3 linked regions of the Mus musculus genome follow. The protein of the gene in region 2 interacts with the protein of the main gene of each other region in a pairwise test. Links are inferred from orthologs where the notes say so. Each region holds a gene or a part of one and is shown on either strand. Other genes may lie near its edges. The genes, in order: Dhps, Nudt18 and Apip.

Evidence for each region.
Region 1: the proteins of Nudt18 (region 2) and Dhps interact in binary tests that used the Homo sapiens proteins (3 or more experiments, as listed by UniProt). The two-hybrid records come from large-scale screens. The link is inferred for Mus musculus from reciprocal best matches to the Homo sapiens genes NUDT18 and DHPS.
Region 3: the proteins of Nudt18 (region 2) and Apip interact in binary tests that used the Homo sapiens proteins (3 or more experiments, as listed by UniProt). The two-hybrid records come from large-scale screens. The link is inferred for Mus musculus from reciprocal best matches to the Homo sapiens genes NUDT18 and APIP.

The regions. Positions count from the first base shown.
Region 1 is NC_000074.6:85,069,407-85,075,927, reverse strand, and holds Dhps (deoxyhypusine synthase), read right to left. Parts: upstream 4,172-6,521; 5' UTR 4,082-4,171; coding exon 3,875-4,081; intron 3,477-3,874; coding exon 3,312-3,476; intron 2,634-3,311; coding exon 2,512-2,633; intron 2,426-2,511; coding exon 2,329-2,425; intron 2,248-2,328; coding exon 2,161-2,247; intron 1,717-2,160; coding exon 1,611-1,716; intron 1,536-1,610; coding exon 1,432-1,535; intron 1,265-1,431; exon of another isoform or gene 1,195-1,264; coding exon 1,069-1,194; intron 995-1,068; coding exon 899-994; 3' UTR 767-898; downstream 1-766. Other genes in the region: Wdr83 (WD repeat domain-containing protein 83), read left to right, coding at 1-105, 585-734. UniProt on the Homo sapiens protein: Catalyzes the NAD-dependent oxidative cleavage of spermidine and the subsequent transfer of the butylamine moiety of spermidine to the epsilon-amino group of a critical lysine residue of the eIF-5A precursor protein to form the intermediate deoxyhypusine residue.
Region 2 is NC_000080.6:70,574,997-70,581,312, reverse strand, and holds the start of Nudt18 (8-oxo-dGDP phosphatase NUDT18), read right to left. Parts: upstream 3,490-6,316; 5' UTR 3,365-3,489; coding exon 3,203-3,364; exon of another isoform or gene 2,806-3,202; intron 2,402-2,805; coding exon 2,188-2,401; intron 1,980-2,187; coding exon 1,384-1,979; 3' UTR 1-1,383. UniProt on the Homo sapiens protein: Mediates the hydrolysis of oxidized nucleoside diphosphate derivatives. Hydrolyzes 8-oxo-7,8-dihydroguanine (8-oxo-Gua)-containing deoxyribo- and ribonucleoside diphosphates to the monophosphates. Hydrolyzes 8-oxo-dGDP and 8-oxo-GDP with the same efficiencies.
Region 3 is NC_000068.7:103,079,525-103,085,255, reverse strand, and holds part of Apip (methylthioribulose-1-phosphate dehydratase), read right to left. Parts: intron 2,302-5,731; coding exon 2,201-2,301; intron 1-2,200. UniProt on the Homo sapiens protein: Catalyzes the dehydration of methylthioribulose-1-phosphate (MTRu-1-P) into 2,3-diketo-5-methylthiopentyl-1-phosphate (DK-MTP-1-P).

The sequences.
Region 1 (6,521 bases), on a different chromosome or scaffold from region 2:
CATAAGAACCAGCAGTACAAGCTGGACTGCTGCCTGAGTGAGCGCGACACACATGTGGTCAGCTGCTCTGAAGACGGGAAAGTGTTCTTCTGGGACCTGGTAGAGGTGAGCCTTCCCCTTGTGCTCCTTGCCAAGGGCATCAGCTGGGTGTTTCCCAAGCTTGAAAAGAGCAATAATGACAGGTATTTGTGCAGGAACCTCTGGCAGAGGGTAGAGGGGTGTGTCTCACTTTGTAGCCCAGGCTGGGCTTGAATTCATCCTGCCTCCGTTTCTTAAGCTGAAATATGAAGGATGGATGAGGGGAAAGCAGGAAAGATATTTGAAGCAAGGGGAATAGCATATGCTAAAGGACTTGGAGAAGGTGGTGGCTGTAGCTGGTTCCAGGTGGGTCACAAGGAAGGCTGAGCTAGGTGCTTTCTATACCCAAGGCTAGCAGTCTCTAGGCCAAGGGTGTGGCTCAGTGGCAGGGTTTGCCTAGCATTCTCAGTACCAACAGAAAGTCAGGGACAAGCTGACTGAGGACTTCAGGCAAGATCTCAAGGAGACCGACTGATAGTAATAGTTCCCCACCACTCATTCCTTAGGGTGCCTTGGCACTGGCCCTGCCTGTGGGTTCTAATGTGGTACAGTCACTGGCTTACCATCCCACGGAACCCTGCCTACTGACTGCCATGGGAGGCAGCATCCAGTACTGGCGAGAAGAGACCTATGAGGCAGAGGGTGGAGCAGGCTGAGGCTTACGGACCTGACACCAAGGATGCAGACTGACTCAGAAAACCCAACCAAAGGGCCATTTATTCTAGAGATGCTGCTGACCAAGGAGTGGGCCTAGGGAGGGGCTGGCATGTAAAGTAATAAATAAAGGTGTGGCAAAAAGCCTCAGTCTTTACCAATCTTCTTAGTCTTCATTCTTCTCAGCTCTGAAGGCATCTGCCTTTTGGGCGAATGTCTCAGCCACCAGCAAGGGGAAAACCAGAGAAGCATCAGCATAGACCTGCAGAAGACCTCAGTGAGCCCTGGAGCCATGGGCAGCCCACGGACCCTGCACCCTGCCCTGCCACCATCTACCTTTACTGGCTGTGCGTCCATCCGGATCTTGCCCCAAGAGACAGCCTCATCTGGCCGGGCTCCGGAGTCTGAGCCATCAAACTCCTGGGCTGTGTTGATATAAACAGCGTAGTCTGCTCCATTCCTCTGTGGGTAGAGGAAGCCCTCGTCAGAAGCCGTAGAAGGCTGGGTATGATGCAGAGGAAGGCCTAGAGAGCTTTTAGGAAGGGCCCATCAGTGCCTGAGGCTGCCACAAACCATCCGCAGGAGACCACACCTACCTCTGCTCCCACTACAGCACTATTCCATGCCTCCGATCCATTCCCCTTCACCCCACAGCCACCATATAACACAGTGGGGACGGTCACAGGCCACTGCACTCACCATGAGGTTAGCGTTGGCAATGTGGTGCTTGACCACACCTCCACCCAGGATGATCATCCCAGAGCGCTTGGCGAAAATGGCCTGCGTGTTGATGAGTCGCAGGTCTGTGAGAGGGCAGAGGTCAGGCCTTGACCTCGGCGGGCTTTCCTCCCCCTCCTCCCCGGGCCTTAGCACCTCACCTTCAACAATGTCCAGGACCAAGCCTGGGTTTTTATAGGAATGGAAGAAGATCATGTCACCCAGTGAGCCATCTGTGAGTGCTGGACTCAGCACAGGGATGTGGTTCTGGTGGAGACAAGACCAGTCAGCAGCTACAGCTCACACCCCAGGAAAACCCTGACCCCCAACCCAGTGGCGTCCCTCCCAACCTGTGTAGGCCACTCAATTTCTCTGCTGGACATGACCCCTCTGTTCTACATGTGGAGGCAGAGTGAGGAAAACCACACATGGCTTGAAGGTGCTGGCACACTGAGCACTGGCTTGTCACTTCCAGACTCTTGTGCTGCACTGTCCCTGGGTGCACAGTACCCTGGGTCAGGCCCCACTGACTTCTAGGGTACTACACTAAATCCCGGGAGTGTAGGGGCATAACTAGGAGAACCTTGCCATCAAGTGATACACCTCGTCTAATTTGGGGAGACCAAGAATAATTATAGAGACGCTCAGGTAGCTACAAAGACAAAGTCAGTACAAGCCAAAGCCTGGGAATACCGTCCCCACCCAACCCACCTTATGGGCCCAATAATACACAGAGTCTGGGTTGTTGATCTCCTTCCCAAGCCGGGAGATCATCTTGGAAGGTGTCCACTTCACACCCTATCATGGGAGAGAATATCGTATTAGCTCATATGTCTTCTGACTCTTACTATGCAGGTCCCCGAGCCCTTCCAGCCCCACCTCTGTGTTCTGCTCCAGCACCATCTGGTCCAGAATGGGCATGAGCCAGTCCTCAAACTTGCAGTAATTGTCATTCGGCACCAGCAGGTTTCCAATCCTGGAAATGGGAGCCATGCGGGCATGGGTCACGGGGATCCTCTGCCCAGCTTCCCCGCCCCGACCACTACTCAAAGCCTCCCTCACCTGTTGATCCCACTCTCCCGGAGCTCCTTCCCCCTGAGGCTGAACTCGCCAAGGTATGTGGGCGCCAGGCATTTGATGAGATCTTCTTCCACACCTCCAGCAGTGGTCACCAATACATCCACCTGTGGTCGGTCGCAGGCAACACTGACCCCCCCTTCTAAGCAGCAACCTAACCTGGGTGAGCTCATCCAGACCTAAGCATGAGCGCTACAACAAAACCAACTCCAGGCCAGGCCTCCCTCTGCCTGAAGCAGACCCACAGCCAGAAAAAGTGGCACGGTCTTGCGATCCCAGCACTCGGAAAGGAGGCTGAGGCATGAGGACTGCCGGGATGTCAAAGAACAATACTCCATCTCCTCACACCCTTTTTTTTTTTTAATCTATTTTGGGCGGTGGTGGTGCATGCCTTTAATCCCAGCACTTGGGAGGTAGAGGCAGGCAGAATTTCTGAGTTCAAGGCCAGCCTGGTCTACAGAGTGAGTTCCAGGATGGACAGCCAGGGCTATACAGAGAAACCCTGTCTCAAACAAAACAAAAACAAAAAAGACTAAAAGATGTATTTAATATATGTGAATACACTGTCCCTCTCTTCAGACACACCAGATCTGTAATGGCATCAAAAGATCCCATTACAGACGGTTCTGAGTCACCATGTGGTTGTTAAAAAGCAAACCCAAATCTTTCACAGGACCGCAAATAATCTCTGAGCCTCTTCATTTCTCTTAACTGAAAAATAACCCTTTTTTTTTTTTTCCTACTGGCCCAAGGAGGCTGGGGTTCCAGAGCTAACGTGGACCCACCATGTTGTGCTGCACGAGGTATCGAATGGTCTCCCGGATGCCTGAACTGATGAGGTTGGAAGTATAGCCCAAGAAAATGGTGCAGCCTGTAAGTGGGCGGCGGCTCTGAGTCAGGTCTGCGTGATGATCTTCATCTACAGCCAGTGGCTCCAGTTTTTTCTCAATCTGGTCATAAGGGCACAGGAAAGTTGCACTAAGACTCCAAACCTCAGTTGAGGTACCCTACCTGGCCTGGATTCCAGAGGTTGATTGCACTCAGGGAGACTACTACAAAACCAAAGCACAACCCCTGGGCAGACCCTAACCCTCCCATTCCAGGTCCAGGTCTGTCACTTGATGGTTTGAGAACCACCCAGTATCTTCAAGTCTCCTTCCACCGGGAAAATCGAACCCCGGGCTCCCCTAGCGTTAAGCTCCTCCTACAAAGCCCTTTTGGATTTTTAACTCCAAGCTCCACCCATCGCAGAACTCTAGTTTACCCGGACTCCGCCCTCTCCCGGACGCTCACGCGGAAATCCGCGCGCAGCGGCCCGGCATCCCGCCCGGGTGGCCCCGCGCCTCACCATGGCGTTGACTTGCTGCACCGCGCGCCCGAAGTTGGTAGCCTGGAAGCCGGTGGTGCGGTAGGCGTCCAGAAGCGCATGGTAATCTACGCCGCGGTTGAAGTCGTAGCCTTGGACCTGGGCGCTCTCGGGCGGCAACGCTGAGCTGTGCTTGAGCACGGCGGCCAGCGCCGAGGAGGGCGCCGCCCCTGGCGGGGTCCCTTCCATGTGCTCGCGGCCGCTCTCAGGTCTCAGCAGCCTCGGCGCCCTGAGACCCGCAAAATCCCTCAGCGAGGTCGGCCGGAGCCCAGGAAGTGCGACTCGAGAGCCTTGGGGGCGTGGGGCGACGAAACCGGAAGTCACTTGGTCTCGTGACCTTGGGCAGCGCCCGCCGTCCTGGTAGCCGCCATTTTATCCCTGTGTTCCGTACATGTGGTCCAGGAGCTGTTACTGAGCTTCAAGCATAGGGAAGTGCCTAGTTTGCAAGCTGTCTCTCTGTCCAAATATTCTTGTCCCCCATGAGCGAAGTGATTGTTTCTTGGACGGTGTCCTTGAACACGACTTAGGGCATCAGGCAAAAAAAAAAAAAAAAAAGAGTTGCAGCCTTTTGTCAAATGGAATAGTGTTTTCTTTTGATGCTTCTTCCAGTCTCCACAAACTTTGTTGCCTCCTCTTTTCCCCCTCCAGCCATAGCTCAATTTTAACTGGATCATGGGCCTCTGGGGAGGCAGGGATGACTGCCATCTATTTACCACGAGAAGCTTGCTGAGAATCTATCATGCATCCTCTTAATGATACACTGAGCCTAGGACAGGGGCACCCCTTCTTCTGGTTTGTGTAGTCTAGACTAGAAATAGTGCTCTCTGCTGGAAGCTGAGATTTAGCAATGGACAAGACCTCTGACCTCCCGGTGACCATAGTATGATGAAACAGAAAATGGTTTAGTGATTAAACCAGGCTTGGGACACACTGCAATCCAGAGGTCGAGGCAGAAGAATCTCGAGTTCCAGGCCAGGCTGAACGATAGAGAGCAGGACCCTGTCTTAACAAAAGGGACCTGTGTGGCTAGGGAAATAGATGTTAGTATGGTCCTTGCTTTTTGAAAAAGCAAGAGTGTGGATTGTATATGTGCGTTCAATTACCAGAACTCAAGGGGCTTGGGGGTTGACAATACCAGTAATTCCAGCTCTGGGGAAGCAGAGACAGGCAGATCCTTGGGATGGGGCCTGCAGAATGACTCAGTAGCCAAAGGCTTACGATAGAAGAAGAGTCTGGATTCCCATACATTCTCTTCTGACCGCCACAGCAGGCCATGCATGCACAAGGTCATAACACAGGCTTGAGGACCAGGTGAATGTCTTCTGAGAGTGACATATGAGGTTGTCCTCTGGCCTACAATCAATCAATCAATCTCTCTCTCTCTCTCTCTGAAGAGGAGGAGGAGGAGTTGGTAACCTGAGCTGAAGGAAAAGGTGATTGGTGAAAACTGCCAAGACCAGAAGACCCAGAAAATTCCTATTACATAAAGACTTCAGAGACACTATTTTTCCAACGATCCCCTTCATTTAACCAATATCTGCCATCAGTGCCCAGTACCACTACCTGGAGGGAGGTCTGCATACATCCGGGAGGGCAAAGTGACTTGAATCCATGATACTTATCACCTCCTCCTCCTCCTCTAGGGAAAAAGTTGAATGAAGGTAGCTATGGCTACTCTGACTAAGATAGTGATGGCGGGGGGGCTAGAGAGATGGCTCAGCTGTTAAGAGCACTGACTATTCTTTTTTTGGTTTTTTGAGACAGGATTTCTCTGTATAGCCCTGGCTGTCCTGGAACTCACTCTGTAGACCAGGCTGGCCTCGAGCTCAGAGATCCGCCTGCCTCTGCCTCCCAAGTGCTGGGATTAAAGGTGTGCACCACCACGCCCGGCACAGCACTGAATATTCTTAGGAAGGTCCTGAGTTCAAATCCCAGCAACCACATGGTAGCTTACAACCATCTGTAATGACATCTGACGCCCTCTACTGCTGTATCTGAAGACAGCTACAGTGTACTCATATAAATAATAAATCTTTTTTTAAAATACATATACATATAGTAATGGCTGTTATGCTCAGAGTCACCATGATCAGCAAGCAGAGGGAAGAGCAGGTAGGGACATAGCAAGAACTTGGTCTCTAGGCTGGTAAGACATGACTTATTGGGTAAAGCCTTTTGTCAGGAGGCCTGGATACCTGAGTTCAATCCCAAGGCCACCGTGGTAGAACAGGTTCTCAGAATGTTAGCCTCTGACCGGTTTCACATGCAACTACCTTACCCTCAACGCACACAATAATTTTTTTTTTTTTGAGACAGTCTCACCATGGAACTGACTGGCCTGGAATTTATTATGTAGACCTGGCAGCCTCAACTCACAGAGATCAACCTGCCTCTACCTCCTGAGGGCTGAGATAATGAATGCAATTTTAAAATAAAAAATTATGCGTTTGTTTGTTTTGGGTTTTTTTGTTTTTTTGTTTTTTTTTTTTTTTTTTTGGTTTTGGTTTTTCAAGACTGGGTTTCTCTGTGTAGCCCTGGCTGTCCTGGAACTCACTCTGTAGACCAGGCTGGCCTCGAACTCAGAAATTCACCTGCCTCTGCCTCCCGAGTGCTGGGATCTGTGCCACCA
Region 2 (6,316 bases):
CTACTGTCCTCTGTGAAAAGCAATGCTAGGAAGTGCGTCTCCTTGCTCAGAATCAGAAATCTAATGTGATGATTAGCAACATGGGATACATTTCCTTTGCTCCAACTGCTTTTGATTTTCATTTTCATTTCTATTTTTAATTATGTATGTCTGCATAGGAGATGTACACATTGAGTGAGTGCCCTCAGAGGCTAGAGAGGGTTTCAGAAAGCCTGAAGCTGGAGGTGGTTGTGAGCCACTTGGTGCAAGGACTGGAAACCAAACTCAGGTCCTCAGCATGAGCCAGCCGCATATGCTCTTAACTGCTGAGCGGAGCCACCTCGCCAGCTCCGAAGCTTTCATCAGATAATAATAATGATGCTAATGATAAGCAGCAGCATGCTGGAGCACATCTGTATTCCCAGGACTCAAGAATTGGAGGCAGGAAGATCACAACAAACTTGATTGAGGTCAGCCTGGTCTATGTGGGCAGAGTCTATCTCAAGAAAACAGAATCCTGTGCTGGCCTGGGAGTGTAACCCATTGATAAAAGGGCTTGACTTCTGCAGAATCTGGATGAGTCAAGGTCATCACCAGCTACATTATAAGAGTTCACAGTCTGCCTGGGCGACATGAACTGAGGACAGGGACATGAACAAAAACCAAAAAGCCAGGTCCGAGAGCACACGGAACAGGTCAGAGCCCAGGAAGCTCAAAGAGAAAAAGACTGGCAGAGGCCAACGTGTCATCCTCAGCTCTTTCTTGTTCCCTAGGCAGTTTCACCAGACCGAACCGTTCAACACCTGGACAGGTCTGAGCTGTGCTTTTATTAGGGGTGTGGTCACTTCAAAGTCCCACGCCCGCCCTGACAGGACAGGAACACTAAAAAGAGCCTGGGTGGGTCGAGGCTTCAGCGAGCATCGATGTCTGCCTCAGGATCCTTACATCCCTGCATAGCATCAGTGTGTACACGGTGAGGAAAGACCTGGGTGACTGTGGGTGGGACAGTGCCCCATATCCTCCCCACACAGACATTTAGGCAAGCAGGCAGGTTAAGCAATACCTTTTTACTCAGCAATGAGGACTCTGCCCTGAGGGATGCGTCCCCCATGTCCCATCCCTCTCTACATTCCTATGGGGTTGGAAGGATTGACATGCAGCCTTTTCCAAAGTGGACAAAGATGGTGCCATTTAGGGTTCAAAAAGTTCCTCACCAACTTAAAAGACAAGTACTGTGTGCCCTCAGAACTGAGCCCTTGAAAAGTGGATTCAAGACACCCTCCCTTTGGGCTCAATGTGTGGTCCCTGCCCCCTCAAAATGTGCAATGAGATCCCTGACTGCCAGCCTTTTCTCTGCCTCAGAGGGAGGGGGCAGCTCAGCTTTTGGTCCCTGCTGGAATCTCTCTATCTGCTCAGGGGGATCACAGAAGATTCCTGGAGTCTGTACAGAAGCAGTTTTTGTAAATCTTCCTCTAATACCTTCCACCAAAAGTAGTTTTCACCCCGAATCTTTGGGGGCTCGTCTTGGATTCCTGGGTTCCGAAAAGCCACGGTCACCAGCACATTCAGGCAGACACCATCCACATGGTCTCTGCCTAGGTGTTGCAACCCAAGCAACCCCTTGGTCTCCACTGCCAAACTGTGCAGAGTCAGACACTCCTGTAGGAGCCTCAAGATGGCCACCTTGATGCCGCCCCTTTGTTCCATAGGGGTAAAGCCACAGGCAGTGATGGGCAAGTGAGGTGTCCCCACCGTGCCCACCAACACCCACACCGACTGGACTGTTGTGAAGGTGGTCACCAGCCGTTGGCAGACCACACTGCAGGGGAGCTCTTGAGGCAGAATGAGAGGGTGCATGGCTTGTTGGCAGAATTTGGCGCCTAGCTCTACCAGGTGCAGAACATCATGGGCTCTAAGCGGTGTGGGCAGGGAGACCCGTGGGTACCAGCCGGCCTGGAGGGACTCAGAATCAGCATCTTTGGAAGTCTTGAGAACTCCGCCTAGGAGAGATTTGGGGGGTGGGGTGGGAAGAGGGCCAGTATGAGAAGGGTTGAGCCTGAGAGAGTAAATGGCCACCCCAACACTCCAGAGAGAGAGAGACCCCCAAAAGCTCTTAGCCCGTAGTAGGTCAATGGCCATAAGCAGAAGCCCACAGTATGGCTGGCTATGGATGAGGGACCGTGAGAAATGTCACTAGGTGGGGGATACCTGTTGGTCGAGCGAGGAACACAAAGCGGATCCAGGAGGCGCCCCTCTCCTCCACGGACAGCAGTGTCACTGGCTCACAGAGCAGCCCTGCCTCCTCCTTCACCTCCCGCTGCATGGCCTCCACGATGGTTTCTCCTGGTTCCATTCTTCCTGCAGGGAGGTACCATGTCCCCCGGCATTCCCTCTTGGCCTCCTGTATCATCAACACCTCATCCTGGGAGGGAGGGAAGTGAGACAATCTTCACTCCTACCCAGCCAGTCTGGGGGCTTCAGAAGAGTAGCCCCTACCTGGATGGCAGCCCAAAGCTCCCTTCTTGGTAGACAGACACCTTTAGGATGCTGGATCCTCAGGAGTCAGGCCCTGATATGGCTGAAAGCAGTGGCTGTCTCCGCTTTGCTGTAACTCAAACCCAGAGGGACTTCTGTTGTAGAAAGGGGCTGAGGACCTTGGGCGTTGCTCTAGGAGGCTTCCTCCTGAAGGTTGCCACCACTCCTATACTGACTCATTTATGCCACTGTCTTGCTCTTGTTCCCATGGGACTTACAAACCGCCTGTGTCAAGTCCTCAATCTAGGGTCTGAGGCTTTGAAACTTAGCTCCACCCCTATACCAACCTACCCCTTCTTGGCCAGGATTTTATAACGCTGACTTGTGCAGAAGTGATCACTAAAAAGAACTCTCACAGGATCGGAGGCCTGCATGTAAGCTCCCCATTACTCTCCCGAGGCGCCGGGAGAGTCTAGACTCCTGGAAAGGAAGGGGGCATATTACAGGCCTCTCCTGGTGGGGGGCGAGGTCTAGTGGATGAGATAAACCGCCCCGGGACCTCGGCTTCTCCTTCCATATTATAGAGTCTACAGAAGGACGATCTCAGCTCAGCTGCTAGTGTTGAGAGTGCTTTGCAACATTGGGAAGCGCCACATACAGGCAGCGGCCGTTGGCTCGCCTGTTCAGATCAGGGCAGGCGGCACGCTCCCGAGACCAGCCGAAGGCCAGCGGCCGGTCGGACGCTCACCTGCTCGTTGAGGAACACGGCCAGCACCACGTAGCAGACATTCTTCCGCAGCCGCACGGGAAACAGCGGCTTCCCAGCCGGCTCCGAGTCACAGCTCTGCACCAGCAACCCCTTTCCCCCCAGCACGGTGGCAAGCGCCCCTGCCAGGCCCTCCGTGGCCATCAAGTCTCCGGGGAGGTGGCAAGCCGGGACCTGCCAGACCCCCGGAGGCAAGCGGCCGGGACCTGAGCTGCGGTGGGCCGCGGCGCCCTCGCCCCCTCCCCTGACTTGAGGGCCAAGACTAACACGGAACCTCCGGGAGAGACCTGGTCGCTGATAGGCTGCGCGTCACTGCGGCCTGCCCGGATTGGCCAGCTCGCAGCGGTTATCGGGAGGGCGGGGCGCCGGGATCCTCCCTCTGCCCCCTCCTCTCCTGGGTTTCAGCCTCACTTCACACTCTCCCTAGCGATTAGCTAATTCACCCAGCACGCACTTGTCCGCGCGGGTTCCGACGGTGATGTCATCCTGCCTGTAGGGTGATGAACACCACTGTGACCAGGGTCGATGGCGTCACTCGTCCGATGACATTACGGAAGCCCAGACTCCGCCGTTCGCTCCCACTGTCCAGCTTTTATCATAAACGAACCACAGAAGTGCTCACGACGAATAGGCCCCAAATAACTTTCTGACTTCGTTAAAATGCTCTGAATGTGGTATGGCTCAGGCACATAACGTTGCGTTAGAAATTCTGATCTGTCTAGGTCGATGGACACAGGGCATTTTAAGAGTCCGAGGCTAAAGGATTGGTTTGGGGGTGGGGTGGGGGATGGGGAACGTGATTGACAAGCCTCAGAGGAGGGATGGGACAGGTGGTCAAGGTGGGACAAGGCTGGGGATGAGAAGAAGCTAAGGGGGGGGGGGATGAATGAAAGGGAGATTGAAGTCAGCACTGTAGCCTGCATCCGATCCTGTGCCCAATGCTTTTCCCAGGCTTCTGAAACAGACTCCATCTTTAGAGGGCAGGGGTGGTGCCCTCCTACCCAGCGTCCAGGGCCTGGTCATGAGGAACAGGGTGTGGGTTGTTTTGGCCAGCTCCTGCTTCTCTCCCAGCCTGACCTTTCTTCCTCTGAGCTTCTTTAACCTCCACTCAGGACAGGAAGGCAGGGCCAGCTGAGAGGAATCCACAAAGCAGGCCAAGTCTGGGCTCCTCACCCCATCCCAGACTTCCCTTTCCTCCCCCACTGCTGGCTCTGTGTACCTCCTTTGGGGGACAGTGGCTTGATGGTACTGACAAAGCTCTGGAGTTTAAAAGCCAGACATCCAGCCTCTGCTGACTGACGTGCTCTGTGCCCTGGGTGGCCTCAATGTCCTCATCTGTACAGTAGGTCTGTAACAGCCCTCCTTTTCCATACTTGTTGAGAAGCCAAGAGAGCTTGGGAGAAGCCATGCACTATCTGAACACCGTCACCAGGCAGCCCACCTGTTCTCCAGGTAGGGTCTCAAAGCCATAGTCCATAGAGCACACCTGCACATACAAGAACACACACACCGTGAAACTGGGGAGTATAGCTCAGCGGTAGAGTATTTACCTAGCATACACAAGGCCCTGAGTTCAATTCCCAGCACCACAAAACCACATCTGTGCTCTGTAGACTTGACTGGCAGGCGATCTCAGCCCTCCGGGACTGGTCTCAGCCTTTCTTCTCCCCGATGCTGATGCAAACTCCCTGAAGAGGAAATCTACGTGAGGTTGGATGGGCACTGTTAGTGGCCCACAGTATTTTCAGGCACTTGGACACTTCTGACTTGAGGCCACTGAAGACCTCCTATTTCTAAATTAACTGTAGTCATCGGCAGAGGGTCAAGATCAGGCCCCAGGGTGCAGAGCCACTTGTTAAAGGCCTCCTCTCTCTTCTCCACCTCTCTCTTCCCCTACCCTCCTCTCCCCCTACCCCCCTTTTGCTCTCTCAGTGCCTCAGTTTTCCCATCTGTGAAGTGGAGGCAGCACTGGTCAGACACTCCATTCTTTCTCCCAGGGATGATTTGGGAGAGGGTGAGGTCATGTCTGGGCAGGCTGGGAGAGTGGCAGAGGCGTCCTAAGATAAACAGCAGCCGGCCCAACTGCCTGGTAGAGCAAAGGCTGCCACAACCGCAGTTCCATTATCATGGGGGAAGGGGAAAACACGCATCTGCTGCGGAAGGCCTCGTTGCCTTGTCATAAGGCACATGGAAGCAATAGAACACCGAAAGCCCTTTGTAAAGGGTGAAGGGGACACACAGAAGGCATCTGAAGGGGGTACAGTCCTTCCCAGAGTGCTTGGGGAGGCAACCAAAAAGGTTGGATTTCTCAAGGCCTTAGGATAAAGAGCAGTGGTCAGAGACAGGTGGGTGAGTCTTGGACAGGAAGGGGATAATGAGACAGGAAAGGAGGCTGGGATAGCCCACCTCCACGCATGTCTTCTTTCCTCTGAGATAGAGGACACCCCTGGAGTGGATAGCCTTAAACAAGCGTAGTCCTACCAGTACTGATTTCCCAGAACCTACGGGAGCAGGCCATCTTAGGGTGCATTCATGCACACGTGTATACAACCTGTGAGCAGGGGAGATAAGGGGTAGGCAGAGTCAGGGACATGGTGACAGAGCTGGGCAGGCAGGATGAGCAAGGGTGTCTGGGATGCTGGAGTCCTTTACAATGTAGCAGATCCTGTCTCCTGACTAAGAGACAGGTGAGAAGGGCAGTGGAGGGGGATGGGCTGTTCAAATAGCTCATCTGCTGACTCGGAGGAGTCACAGCCACAGTGTAGATGAGACACCGGCATTTCTAGACCCTGGGACACAAAGGGGGACAAAAAATGGGAACACTGGTGAGATTCCAGTAGGTGGTGGCTTCCTAGATGGGATTATTTGGTTCTAGCTGTGATGCTAAGGTTCCACAGTGATGAAAAGACTATGTTTGAATATGGTTATTCCCACTGGGGGCACGAGGTCAAGGGTAACTGAAAGCTGTATGTGCTAACATTTGTTTTGTTTTTGTTTGTTTTTTAGAGACAGGCTCTCACTATGTAACCGTCTGGCCTTGGCCTCTACCTCTGAGGCTAAGATTAAAGGTATGTGCCCAGCACACCACGGTCTGTG
Region 3 (5,731 bases), on a different chromosome or scaffold from region 2:
TGTGTTAATCAAATGCAACAGGCTTAGTGAGGCTGGCACATATTGATGAAAACAGGACATGCTAAATCTAAATGCTACAGACCAAGCTGAAAGGCCACGGCTGCTGAGGGCCATAGACTGACTTTGAGGGTTCCTGTGCCTGTGCTCAGTGCGATCTCTATGTGGATCTCTGTGTGCTCTCTCTCTCTCTCTCTCTCACACACACACACACATCCATCCATACACTAGTTATGTGAGCTGGAGTGGTAGCAGCCAAACCTTGAAAGCTGTCAGTATTTCTACTTTACGTATGGTTCTAGTGCATTACCTACTGTATGTACATGTCTTTTCAACTTTATTTGCACCAAGAGTCAGACACAGACAAAACCATCACCGCAAACACGAAGCTGAGTAATATGGTCGAATAAAGTCATTTAAATATTAGGGATAACATTCAGCACCTTACTAAAAATAGCCATTTTAGTCTGTAAGGCACAAACTTGAAGCCAAACGAAGCCTTAAAATTCTGGCTCTTCCCATTTGTGGCCCCTAGAGGGAGCTCCTTGCCTATTAAAAATAACGAAAAACTACAGATGATGCAACTTTCCTATAAATTGATTGTGGTGCTATAAAAGTGATTACATATTAAGAGATGTGCCAATAAATGGTTTATGTTGGCCGCACACAATCAGGCTGTGGAACAGTAAAGTTCTTCTAGAAGAAGTCCTGTATAGTTTCTTGCTTTAAAAACTTCTCTTGAGGGGCTGGTGAGATGGCTCAGTGGGTAAGAGCACCCGACTGCTCTTCCGAAGGTCAGGAGTTCAAATCTCAGCAACCACATGGTGGCTCACAACCATCTGTAACAAGATCTGACGCCCTCTTCTGGAGTGTCTGAAGACAGCTACAGTGTACTTACATATAATAAATAAATAAATCTTAAAAAAAAAACTTCTCTTGAGTTTGCATTCTATTCTTTTTAACTTTGCTGTATATATTTTTAAAAAGCCAGAAACAAGTATTTTAGCTCAGTTTGGTAGGAGCTCTGTTATATACAAAGCCATTTTCTGCACCAGTAGAGAGAGAGAGAGCATAAAAAGCAGCCTTTAGAAATAAATCATACATCAGGGAAATTAAATTACAGACAGGCACTTGACTTCTTAGATAGGAATGAATTATTCATAGTTTCAGGTATATTGTGCATAAGGAAACCTGAGAGCTTAGGCACAGGGCAACATGGCCGTGCAGGCGATCAGGGAAGACGCTTTATCTGTACTGAGAGAATTCTTATATCCACAGCTGTCTAAGCTGTTGACTAAGTCACATTTTGCTATTTCCCACTGTTGAATTAATATTTCATGAAGGACACTGTAATTTGGAGCAGATGAAATTCCAAAGTCATTATTTTGTGGGAAGGAGTAAAATTCCTTTTGTTTAAGATGTTCTGATTTTATTTTACAACCTATTTCCTATTATAAAATGCAGATTCCTTGACGGATACATACACATACATATATGTACATGTATACACATGCATACCATGTACACATACACTCAGCATATAAATATTTTAGTGATCCAACTTTGCTAAAGAAAAAAGGTGAATTAGAATACAGAATAAAACCCCGCCTCCAGCAACAGGACTCCTACATTTCAGGGGGAAGACATCAACCCACTTCAGCAAGCCCTGGGAGAAGGAGGCTTGCTTCCTCCAGCTTACTCCTCATCTGCTTGACCACAAGACACTCACTGAACTCAGTGAGCAACAGAAAATGAGTCCTTCTGTTTTAAACCCAGTGCCTCAAAGGAGTAGATAGTAGCATTGCTGGGCCTGTTAATCATGATATCTCTGCTCAAAAACAGCACATGGCCTGTTTTGAACTTAGTAAATATGGATTTTTGAACTTAATTAGAATTTAATGATTAATAATTTCTATTTAAGTGACTTTTAAATATTTCTTTGAACTTTTGAAATAAGTCTTCAACTACTTTTCTTACCTGTGATGTTCCAGAGAGGACCAAATTATCCCAGTTAACAACTGGGAATTTATTGTGCTTGTTGCTTCTGCTCCTTGGCTCCACCAGGCTATGCAGACATCCACCGATCATTTAGAAAGTATCCGGCTTCAGTCCCGCACTAAACTGACTATCAGCTGGGTCTGGACACAGCCCTGAGGCCTGCTAAAATAAGAACTCCCACAGCTGCGATCAGCCAGGAACTTACCCATGCTTCAAGCTGATTCCCCCTCCAGTGCCGGTGACCCAGCCCAGATGGTAAAACTGTTTGCAAAGTTCTGGGATCAGGAATCGGGGGTGCTCCTTGTCCTGAAAGAGAAGATGATGATTTGCAAATGACTCTTAAAGTTGTGCACTCCAGCTGGCACTTCCTTAATCGTTAGAAATGGATTTACTTAATTGGCAGTCTGGGATTGGTCAGTACAGGGGTCCCAACTCTATGGAACTGGCTGTAAAAACAAGGCAGGGAAATGCCAGGGGTCTATGACACAGCGTCAACAGAAAGGCAGTGGAACCCAGTACTAAAAACAAACAAACAAACAAACCCCACACTTTGGGCTACACAGCTAAGTGCTTCACAGAACACCCTGCTAGAACACCATACATGACACTTCACTATCAATACATGTTCAACACAGTCTGTGTTGGGGCAGTTTCAATTTTATCTTTAAAATGTTGTTTTCCAAAGTGATTTAAATATCTTCTTATTCAATTATAATAGTGACTATGACAAACCATTAAAGTCAAGCAAATAACAATCAATAAACAAATCCTACTCAGAAGCACTTATGATCCTTTTCTACGAAGGCATTTTACGGAACCGTGTGAATAAAGGCCAGAAGGAACATCAACCCTTACTTATGTTTAGCTGCAATAACTCCCAGTTTTCCCTGCTTTTCTCTTAACAGTTTAAACTATCTAAAGCAAGCAGAGAAGAACAACGAGCTCCATTTTGGCAGTACGATATGTAGCCTTAGCTGGAAAGCAGATAATAACTGCCTAGTCAGTCATGTTCACAAATATTTCAAAAGAGGTGGCAGAAGTGGAAAGTGAACTTCGCAGGACTCCTCAGGGAAATGTCTTGGGGGCAGGGCACTCCAAAGCTGACGTTCACTTCAAGCCACCTGCAAAAAGTTCTGGGCTCTCTGGGCTTCACTCTGATAGCTGGACCAGCATCAGAACTCTGAGATAAACTCCAGACTTGTACCACACAGAAAACCTCCAAATAAACTCAAGACTCGGTGGGCTGCAGTCTCAGCAAACAAGAAACCCTTGCTACGGAGAAAAGCACAGGAAATAACTGACTATGGACGGCGGCCCTGGGTAAAGGGGAAAACCATTCCCGAGTCCAGAGGAAAACCATTATTTCAACAGACTGGGCAGCTAAAATTGTGTTTCCCAATATTTATTTACTTGTCATTCTCTGGTTTATTCTCTCTCTCTCTCTCTCTCTCTCTCTCCCATCCTCTCTCTTCTTTCCTCTGTGTTTGAGTATGCATGTATGTATGTATGCATGCATGCATATAGATAAATACTTTTGGTGGTATGAATGATAATTTGATGAAGTAGCCTTCAAAATAAAAAATTCAGAGTATGAGAAAAAGTCAGGCTTTTGTAAAAATCAGCACAGGTTTAGGAGTTAGCAAAGAAGGTCAAACTACACAATATCTAATTCACCATTTACACGATGCTGAGTGTGCTGGCTAGTTTTACATCAACTTGACACAGGCTAGAGTCATCTTGGAAGAGGGAACCTCAAATGAGAAATTGACCCCACCTGTCGCCTGTGAATAATCACGCCTGTGGTGCATTTTCTTGATTGATGATTGATGTGGGCCCAGCTCACCTTGGGCGGTGCTGGCCCTGGGCTGGCGGTTCTGGGTTATATAAGCCACAAGGAGAAAAGCAGTAAGCAGCACTCCCCCATAGCCTCTGCTTCAGATCCTGCCTCCAGCTGGCTTCTTGCCTTGTACTCCCGCCCTGACTTCTCTGGATGATGGACTATAAGTTGTAGGCTGAAATTAACCCTTTCCTCCCCGTGGTGCTTTGCTCAGTGTTCTATCACAGCAACAGAAATCTTAACTAAGACACTGAGCCCCACTTTTACTCAACCATGAAATAAGCACACTTTGAGGAATAAAGTGAGATGAAATGAAGATAAAACACACAGCACAAAGCTAAAGAGATGGCTCGGCAGCTAAGAGCATGTCCTGTTCTCGGGAGAACCAGAGTTCAGTTCCCACCACTCACATCAAGTGATTCACTATCTATAGCTCCATCTCCAGGCTGAACTGAAGCCTCTGGTCTTCTTAGGCACCTGCATGTGCACATATCTATCTACCAACACACACACACACACACACACACACACACACACACACAAACACACACAGAGACACAGAGAGATACACACACAATATAACATAAAAGTTGGGGCTGGAGAGATGGTTCAGAGGTTAAGGTCCGTACTGTCTTGCAGAAGCTTGGAGTTCAGTTCCTAGCACCCATGTCAGTCAGCTCACAATCAATGTTACTCCAGCTCCAGAGGAGCCAACATCTCTGCCGGGGAGTCCTTGGGCATTTACACTCATGTGCATATATCACACAAAGTTGAGCACATATATACATATTTAAAAATAAAATTTAAAAGTCTCTACAGTAAAAGCACTCCACAGAAAACCATGTGACATAATATGAACTTCCTTACACTTTAAAGAGTTAAAGTTCTTGAACACAAATTAATTACTTAAAAGTTAATAATAAAATGGATTTCTTTACTCTTCTCAAGGAATCTAGCCAAAAAAATTCTATGCCCCATATAATTTGCTATTTCCTTTTTGGGGAACATAAATGATATTTTAATTACATATTAAATACAACTAATGGGGAGACTCCTGCAGTGTTCCAATCATTAAGACCAAATTTGCGCAACAAATTGCAAACATTACCGAAAATGGTCTATTATTATAGATCCCCCTCTCCTTTTGTCTTTCCCCAGTATTGAGGTATTAGAGCCATTAGCCAGCTCCCTGCTACAGCACACCAATGGCGGGCAGTGCTGCTATTGTCCTCCTCAGCCACTCAGATCAGGAAGATACCATTACAGGGAAGTAACGGAGCCCTGGCAGCCACACATCTGCTGACTTTCAGGTGCAGCCATTTAACCTGTGCGGCCCAAGAGTGTGAACGTGGAAATGTTACCTTTGGAACGGACAGAAAGGGAGAGCTTACTGTCTATTGCACCCCTGGATGCCAATGGTGCCTTTCAGCTGTTGTTAGAGTTGGCTCTCAGTGAGCGTAACACCTATATAGCATGAAGCTAAAGAATCACAATGAATAGAAGAGACGCTATGGTATGGCAGAAACAGACGCAGTGACATTCAGAATATATTAGACATGAAAGTGTGAATAGCTTTCATCCCACTTTGAAGACATTTCACTTTTGTGCCACAGAAATGCGTACTTATGCCTAACAGTAGCTCCATTTATTTCCATGTCTTCCTTTCTTTCACCTTAAAACACCAGCACACATCTGGACCTCGGCTTTCCTCTGGGAGGACTCTGGCATAAACATAAAACAAACTTTCAGGTGAGGGTGACATTCGGTAGTAAAGCATATGTTTATTAGCATAAGCAAGAGTCCAAATTTGATCCAAAGAGAAAGTGTTGAAGTTATTTAATGTAGCCATTAATACGGAAAGCAGTAAAGGTGTGTTAGAATTTTTTCAAAACAGAATTC